2 linked regions of the Callithrix jacchus genome follow. The protein of the gene in region 1 interacts with the protein of each later gene in a biochemical or structural test. Links are inferred from orthologs where the notes say so. Each region holds a gene or a part of one and is shown on either strand. Other genes may lie near its edges. The genes, in order: NHLRC1 and EPM2A.

Region 1 (4,469 bases):
GACACTTTACAATATGAGGCCAACAAACTTATGAAAAAATGCTCAACATCACTCATCATTAGAGAAATGCAAATCAAAACTACATTGAGATACCATCTCACGCCAGTTAGAATGGTGATCATTAAAAAAACCTAGACACAACAGATGCTGGAAAGGATGTGGAGAAATAGGAACACTTTTACACTGTTGGTGGGAGTGTAAATTAGTTCAACCATTGTGGAAGACAGTGTGGTGATTCCTCAAGGACCTAGAAATAGAAATTTCATTTGACCCAGCAATCCCATTACCGGGTATATATCCAAAGGATTATAAATCATTCTACTGTAAGGACACATGCACATGAGTGTTCATTGCAGCACAGTTTACAATAGCAAAGACCTGGAACCAACCCAAATGCCCATCGATGATAGACTGGAGAGGGAAAATGTGGCACATATACACCATGGAGTACTATGCAGCCATAAAAAATGATAAGTTCATGTCCTTTGTAGGGACATGGATGAACCTGGAAACCATCATTCTCAGCAAACTGACACATGAACAGAAAATAAAACACAGCATGTTCTCACTCATAGGCGGGTGTCGAATAATGAGAACACATGGACACAGGGAGGGGAGCATCACACATTGAGGACTGTTGGCAGGGGCTAAGGGAGGGACAGGGGGCTGTGGGTGGTTGGGAGAAATAGCATGGGGAGAAACGCCAGATATAGGTGATGGGGAGGAAGGCAGCAAATCACACTGCCACGTGTGTACCTATGCAACAATCTTGCATGTTCTTCACATGTACCCCAAAACCTAAAACACAATAAAATATATATATATTCTTTATATATAAACTTCTTTATATATATATGTTCTATGGTAATTATTATTAACTAACAGCTTTCTTATTTCATATTAATTACTCTGCAAGACACTCCGAGCCATGGTTCCCCCATCTGACACTCATTCACCTAGTGGATGTTTTTGCTCTATAACATTCCTTCATTAATGCACAAATTCATTCTACAAGTGTGTATTCATTTAACATTGACTTAACGAGTGTGATAGAAGACACAAAAGAAAATATGCACATCTGCCTTACCTCCCTTGGAGCTTATCTTCTCTCGTGTGTCGGTGTTTTCCGGTTCAGATCATAAGCATGACGAGCTAAGGGACCATGTTTTATGCCCGGACAGCCCCAGCACCCAGCGCTGCAGATTGGAGACACTGCTAGGCACCCGGGTGGGAAGCCTGGGTTCTAGTTCTTGTTCTGCCGCCTCCAGACGGAGTAACAGGGAGCAATCCGGTTGTCCTCAGTAGATGTGTTTCCTCATCTGAAAGTGTACCCAATCCATCCATGACTGCTGTGACGATTACAGGTCTTAACGCGCATGTGGATTTGTCTTGCAAACGTCCACGACCAGGCCCCCGGGAAACAGTGCCGCGCGTGGCCACCAAGGGGCAGCAGATCGCAGTGCAGAGGCCCGCGGCGCTCGACGTCAGGGCGCACGCCCGACCCCGTGACCGTGACTGTGACCGTGACCGAGGGCGTCGCTGGGGCACAGCCGGGCGGCGCCGCGGGAGTGCGCAGGACCCGCCATGGGGGCCGAAGCCTCGGGGAGCCGGCCGGAGCTGCAGGAGCTCATGCGCGAGGCGGAGATCAGCCTGCTCGAGTGCAAGGTGTGCTTTGAGAGGTTTGGCCACCGGCAGCAGCGGCGCCCGCGCAACCTGTCCTGCGGCCACGTGGTCTGCCTGGCCTGCGTGGCCGCCCTGGCGCACCCGCGCACGCTGGCCCTCGAGTGCCCATTCTGCAGGCGAGCCTGCCGGGGCTGCGACACCAGCGACTGCTTGCCGGTGCTGCACCTCATAGAGCTCCTGGGCTCGGCGCTTCGCCAGTCCCCTGCCGCCCACCGCGCCGCCCCCAGCGCCCCCGGAGCCCTCACCTGCCACCACGCCTTCGGTGGCTGGGGGACTCTGGTCAACCCTACCGGACTGGCGCTTTGTCCCAAGACGGGGCGGGTCGTGGTGGTGCACGACGGCAAGAGGCGTGTCAAGATTTTTGACTCCGGGGGAGGATGCGCGCATCAGTTTGGAGAGAAGGGGGACGCTGCCCAAGACATTAGGTACCCTGTGGATGTCACCGTCACCAACGACTGCCATGTGGTTGTCACTGACGCGGGAGATCGCTCCATCAAAGTGTTTGATTTTTTTGGCCAGATCAAGCTTGTCATTGGAGGCCAATTCTCCTTACCATGGGGTGTGGAGACCACCCCTCAGAATGGGATTGTGGTAACTGATGCGGAGGTAGGGTCCCTGCACCTTCTGGATGTCGACTTCCCCGAAGGGGTCCTTCGGAGAACTGAAAGGTTGCAAGCTCATCTGTGCAATCCCCGTGGGGTGGCAGTGTCTTGGCTCACCGGGGCCATTGCAGTCCTGGAGCACCCCCTGGCCCTGGGGAGTGGGGTCTGCAGCACCAGGGTGAAAGTGTTTAGCTCAAGTATGCAGCTCGTTAGCCAGGTGGATACCTTTGGGCTGAGCCTCTACTTTCCCTCCAAAATAACTGCCTCAGCTGTAACCTTTGATCACCAGGGAAATGTGATTGTTGCAGATACATCTGGTCCAGCTGTCCTTTGCTTAGGAAAACCTGAGGAGTTTCCAGTACCAAAGCCCATGGTCACTCATGGTCTTTCTCATCCTGTGGCTCTTACCTTCACCAAGGAGAATTCTCTTCTTGTGCTGGACACAGCATCTCACTCTATAAAAGTCTACAAAGTTGACTGGGGGTGATGGGCTGGGTGGGGCCTTGGAATCAAAAGCACTAGTGCTGCCATTAATGAATTGTTTAACCCTGGAAAAGTCACTTAAACTCATCTATCCAAAGAGGGATAATTAAAACTGTCTGGCAGACTTACAAAGCTGGAGACAATTATTAGAGATTAAGCTACCATTTATTGAATGGATACTCTGTGCAAGGAAATTTGCAAATATTAGTTTATTTAATCCATGCTACCCAGTGAGGTAATTTTTTTTTTTTTTTTTCTGAGATAGAGTTAAGCTCTGTCACCCAGGTTGGAGGGCAGTAACATGATCACGGCTCACTACAGTTTCAACTTCCCTGGGTCAGGTGATCCTTCCACCTCAGGCTTCCAAGTAGCTGAGACCAAAGGCGTGCACTACCACACCCAGCCAATTTTTGTATTTTAGTAAAGGTGGGGTTTTACCCTGTTGCCCAGGCTGGTCTCAAACTCCTGAGCTCAGGCAATCCACCTTCCTCGGTCTCCCAAAGTACTAAGAGTACAGGCATAGCCACCTTGCACAGCCATAATTTTTATTAGTAATCTCCTTGTACAAGTGAGAAAACTGAGACCCAGAGAGCTTACGTGACTTCCCCAGGCCACAGTTACTTACTACAGTAGTCACAATTTGAATTCAATTCTGACTTCAAATAAATTGCCCTTAAATAAGATAACAGATGCGGGGAAAATGCGTAAATGTATAGTGTTGCTATATGTACTCTCTTTACAAGTAGCTAATTATTCTATCACGAGGATGTGCAAAGAGAGAGACTTTACGGAGAGTTCAGGAGAAAAAGGATTTTGTGGTGGGCATCACTTTCATTCCGCTTGCAAGTGCTCTGATGGCACATTAGATGAAGTTACTATTGATCCTGAGATACATGAATAAGAAAAACAATCGAACTACTTATTAAAAAGATAAACATGTCTTTTAATGCCTATATCTTCTCTACTATACAAACTCAGAAAATACCACTTGGTTGTTTGAGAAAGGCCTATTTTTGTTGTTGTTGTTGTTGTTGTTGTTTGTGTTGGTGGTGGTGGTGATGTGTGTGTGTGTGTGTGGGTGAGACAGAGTCTTTCTCTGTCGCCCAGGCTGGTGTGCAGTGGTGCGATCTTGGCTCACTGCAACCTTTACCTCTTGGGTTCAAGCAATTCTCTGCCTCAGCCTCCTGAGTAGCTGGGATTACAGGCACCTGTCACCATGCCCAGCTTAATTTTTTTTTTTTTTTTTTGTATTTTTAGTAGAAACAACGTTCACCATTTTGGCCAGCCTGGTCTTGAACTCCTGACCTCATGATCCACACACATTGGCCTCCCAAACTGCTGGGATTACCGGCATGAGCCACAGCACCCAGCCTAGGCCTATATTATTGCAGAACACTCTACATACTAGTGTCATATGTCCCTGTTACCTGTTTATGTTACACGTTTATGGGTTGTTTGTTTCTAGACATGGTCTTGCTCTGTCACCTGGAGTACAGTGATCACTGCTCACTACAGCCTTGACTCCCTGGGCTCAAATGATCCTCCTGCCTCAGCATCCCGAGTAGCTGGGACTACAGGTGTCTGTCACCATGCCCAGCTAATTTTTAAATTTTTCGTAGGGATGGGATCTTGCTTTATTGTCCAAACTAGTTTCAAGCTCCTGGGCTCAAACAATCCTCCTACCTTGGCCTCCCAAAGCAA
Region 2 (4,434 bases), about 140 Mb from region 1:
TGCATCGCCAAATGACTCTCACTTTTCTAAACTTACTCTAAGAATATCTTGTAACAGCAATTTGCATAAACCGACTCACATGCCACTGTGATTTAATAATGTCTGATTTGCTACTCAATCAGTTGTGTTTGGCCAGCCTTTCTGTCTTCACATTGTTCACAGTGTTTATCCTTAAGCTTAGCAACCAATCAAACTTTGAGTGGAATGTCAATATGCAAGAGTGAACTGTATTGTAAGTTTTCTAGGTGTTCCACAAGAGATTGTGTTTGTGTAGTTTACATTTTTTTCACTTTCTGTTTTACTTATGATATTCTCAACGCATAAAACTTTGGCCTTTCCCCCCCCCACCCCTTGCTATTCACAAAATTCCAAATACTGGTAAAAATGCCTGTGTCTTTAATTCACATCACGGATTCATGTTGTTAAATGTTAGCGAATACATAAACATAAGAATACAAGGATAACTTTATTAAAGAATATAAAACTATCAGGACATTTGTCTGATGGCAGCGACAAATTGAAGTTCCCCGACCAAGATATATAGTATTTTAGGTTTTGGCCAGACAACTAAAAAAATCTCTGTTTCTTGACCCAAAAAGGTTTTAAGCTGAAAGACTAGTGCTGGCTTATTGAAAGTAAATTTTAAACAAAGGGCTTTAAAAAAATAATTACTCCATTAAAAAATGCATACATTTACAGTCACAGAATTAGTTTTTGTTTTGACCTTCAAAAGTACTTGAAAGTATTTACTCCAAACTTACTTTACACATACTAAAAATATAATACTTTTTGAAAAAAGAAGGTGATCGTGTGGCTTTTCAGACAGGGGAATGGTATGTAATGTTTTGCATCAGCTCTGGGTTGTTGCAACCATTGGGTTGTCTCCACCAATCAGATATCCATTAGAGCCGGTAGGATTTGAAAAGATTATTTTATACCCTCATTTTACAGATAAAGAACCTGAGACCCATGAGAAAAGTGACTTGGTTAAGGCGTGGAGCGCTCCAGAGACCGGTCCAAGATCTTCCCCCGTTTCACAATTAGGAGGCTGCTGTCTGGAGGCCATTTCTTTCCTCATGATCCTCGTAAAGTTAATTTCCAGTCTCTTGGAAAGAGGACTGGACGACTGCCTGGCTTAGAAGATTTCCTCCCTTCCCGAACCCCGTTTTCTCTTCCTTTTCTTCCGCTAGCCGCTTCCCCAGCGCCCGCAAGTGGAAATCAGCCGCCCGCGGGGCTGCGGTGCACAAAGAGGCGGCTGGCGGACCCCTTCCCGCCGGCCCGGACGCAGCCTGGGCTCGGGGGCCGCGTGATGCAGCCCAAAGAAGGCGCAGAACAGCACGTGTTCCCGGCTGTGCCCGGGCCTCCCGCGCCGCCGCCCAATCGCCGTGGCCGCCTCGCGCTCAGGCAGCGCCTGCCGGCCGCTGAAACTCGGGGCCCGGGGATTCGCGTCGCAGGCCGCCCGCCATGCGCTTCCGCTTCGGGGTGGTGGTGCCGCCCGCCGTGGCTGGCGCCCGGCCAGAGCTGCTGGTCGTGGGGTCGCGGCCCGAGCTGGGGCGCTGGGAGCCGGGAGGGGCCGTGCTCATGAGACCCGCGGGCACCGCGGCGGGCGCCGGGTCGCGGGCGCTGCAGGAGCCGGGCCTTTGGATTGGGGAGGTGGAGCTGGTGGCCGAGGAGGCGGCGCAGGACGGGGCGGAGCCGGGACGCGTGGACACGTTCTGGTACAAGTTCCTGAAGCGGGAGCCGGGAGGAGAGCTCTCCTGGGAAGGTACTGGCAATGTGCGCCGGCCCCGGGCCCCGGGCACGGAGCGGGAGCTCGGCCTCGGCCTCGGGCGGGCCCCGCAGGCCCCCGCGGCGCGCGTCCCGGGCTCCTTGCCCGCGTCCCTGGGCACTCGCCGAGCGCCCCGGGCTGACCCTGCTCTGCGGGCTACGGTGTCGCCGCCAGCCGCGCCTCCGGCTTCCTACTGGTTCCCTAGACCCGTACAGCGCTCCCGCCCGCCTTCCCGCCCCCTTGGTTGCTCGCCTCTCTGACCTGGTTTCCGCACACCCAGTCCACAGTTTCTTTCCAACCGCGCCTGCGTCAGGGGCCGGTGCCCTTCGTCTCCCGCCCGGGGCCCCTTAGCCCTCCGAGTCCTCCTTGCGCGGGTCCCTGGGCTGCCCGGCCGCGCGCCGCCGAACGGCTTCGCTGCCCAACTCCGCCTTAGTTGGTTTCTGTGTCCTCATTTTCCTGTCCTAGTTCACTAAAAAAACGATCCAACCAGCGAAACTAGCATTTTCGCTAATCCTAGACTGCAACGTGTTACTTACTGTATAGATTTTTTTTTCTTATTTTGAGAATGAACTAATGGAAAGACGTTGAATATTGGATTTTTTTCTTTTTTAATCCCAGGTATATGACAATTGAGACTTGACCTGACTTCTTAAAATACTAAAACAATACATGCTGGTTGTAGAATAATAATAATGATGATAAAGAAATATACATAGTGAAAACTTAGTGTTTCCTGCACGCATCTTAAGTACACTGCCTGTATACATTTATGTATGTGATACATGCATATACTTTTTTTTTTTTAACAAAAATTATATCTCATTCTGAATTTTTTCTTTTCTTGCGGAACAATATGTTGGGGACATCTTTATTTTACATGTAGATATATATTTTAAATGGTAACATATTATTCTGCATCTACCAATGTGCATTTAGGTTCTTTTCAGTTTTCTGTTATAGACAGTAGTAGCTTAATTGAAATTCCTTTTGCAGGTTATCTTTGAACATTTGGGAATGTTTCTGCAGAGTAGATTCAAAGAAGTGAAATTATTAGGTCAAAATGTAGTCTTTTTTTTTTTTTTTAATACTTCAATAAGGACTGCTAAATTATGCCCTGAAAAGGTGATACTAATATCGGTTCCCACCAACAATGTCTGAATTGAGGCAGCCCATTTCTTTAAAGGAAATGTGCAAGGTTGAAGACTGGAGTGGGTGTGACTCAGTAGTTGAAGTCAACGAAATGAGTGTCTCTTGAGATGTTGATATGTAAAAAATGGACCATTTAGCTTGTAATAATGTAGAAATAATCTGTAAAGAAGATTTGGCTGAAATATATTTATATATTATCCTTGTTCTCTTTTTGTACCCCACTGGGCTTTTAGTCTGGTAGCATTTATTCTTCAGTTTATCCTTCCTTTAAAGGGGCTTACTATTATTCATAGTAAGAGGTTGTCCAGAGCGGTGGGGCCTTGGACCCATGAATCCCCTTTTCTCTCCAGGTCTGTGGTGAGAGGGGCTGCTATGGAGGTCTCTGAAATGTCTTCCAGGCCTTTTCTCCATTGTCTTGGCTATTAACATACAACTCCTGTTTACTTATGCAAATTTTTACAGCCAGCTTGAGTTCCTCCTTGAAAATGGATTTTTCTTTTCTACCACATGGCAAAGCTGCACATTTTCCAAGCTTTTATGCTCTGCTTCCCTTTTAAGTATGTCTCTTTGCTCATAGATTTGAGCATATGCTGTTAGAAGCAGCCAGAGCACATCTCGAATGCTTTGCTGCTTAGAAATTTCTTCCACCAGATACCCTAAATCATCTTTCTCAAGTTAGATTTCCACAGATTTCTAGAGCAGGGCTGCAATGTTGCCAGTCTCTGTGCTAAAGCATAATATGAGTGACGTTTACTCTAGTTCCCAATAAGTTCTTCATCTCTGTCTGAGACCGCCTCAGCCATATCATTGTCAGCATTTTGGTCACAAATATTCACAAGTCGCTAGGAGGTTCCAAACTTTCCTTCATCTGCCTGTCTTCCTTTGAGTCCTCCAAACTGTCCCATCCTCTCCCTAACACCTGATTCCAAAGCTGCTTCCACTTTTTCAGGTATCTTTATAGCAATGCACCTCTTCCCAGTTCGAATTTTCTGTATTAGTTGCTCTTGCATTACTATAAAGAATGGCCTAAGACTGAGTAATTTATAAAGAGGTTTAATTGAGTCACGGTTCTCCAGGCTATATAGGAAACATGGCTTGGGAGGCCCCAGGAAACTTACAAACATGGCAGAAGGCAAAGGGGAAGCAGTCACTTCCTACATGGTTGGAGCAGGGGGAAGAGAGAGAGAAGGAGGAAGTGCTACACACTTTTAAACAACCAGCTCTCATAAGAACTCTCACAAAAACAGTAAGGAGGAAGTCCACCCCCATGATTCACTCACCTCTCACCAGGCTCCCCTTCCAACACTGGGGACACAAATCCAAACCATATCACTGGGAAAGTGCTTTATTCAGGTGAGCATATTCCTTTCCTGAGGAAACTTAGTGTACTGATTACCAAAAATGAGGAAAGTGGATCTTGGGTAGGCAGCTAATAATGCATGGTACAGTTTAAAACAAAAGATATCATGCACAACATTTATTTGTGTATTTATTGGTTTTTGTCTTTTACCAGATTG

The links.
Region 2: the proteins of NHLRC1 (region 1) and EPM2A form a complex in vitro, tested with the Homo sapiens proteins (3 studies listed by BioGRID, with this or other methods). The link is inferred for Callithrix jacchus from reciprocal best matches to the Homo sapiens genes NHLRC1 and EPM2A.

Annotation. Positions count from the first base shown.
Region 1 is NC_133505.1:12,710,504-12,714,972, forward strand, and holds NHLRC1 (E3 ubiquitin-protein ligase NHLRC1), read left to right. Parts: upstream 1-1,507; 5' UTR 1,508-1,584; coding exon 1,585-2,772; 3' UTR 2,773-3,715; downstream 3,716-4,469. UniProt on the Homo sapiens protein: E3 ubiquitin-protein ligase. Together with the phosphatase EPM2A/laforin, appears to be involved in the clearance of toxic polyglucosan and protein aggregates via multiple pathways.
Region 2 is NC_133505.1:152,513,024-152,517,457, reverse strand, and holds the start of EPM2A (laforin), read left to right. Parts: upstream 1-1,423; 5' UTR 1,424-1,464; coding exon 1,465-1,765; intron 1,766-4,434. UniProt on the Homo sapiens protein: Plays an important role in preventing glycogen hyperphosphorylation and the formation of insoluble aggregates, via its activity as glycogen phosphatase, and by promoting the ubiquitination of proteins involved in glycogen metabolism via its interaction with the E3 ubiquitin ligase NHLRC1/malin.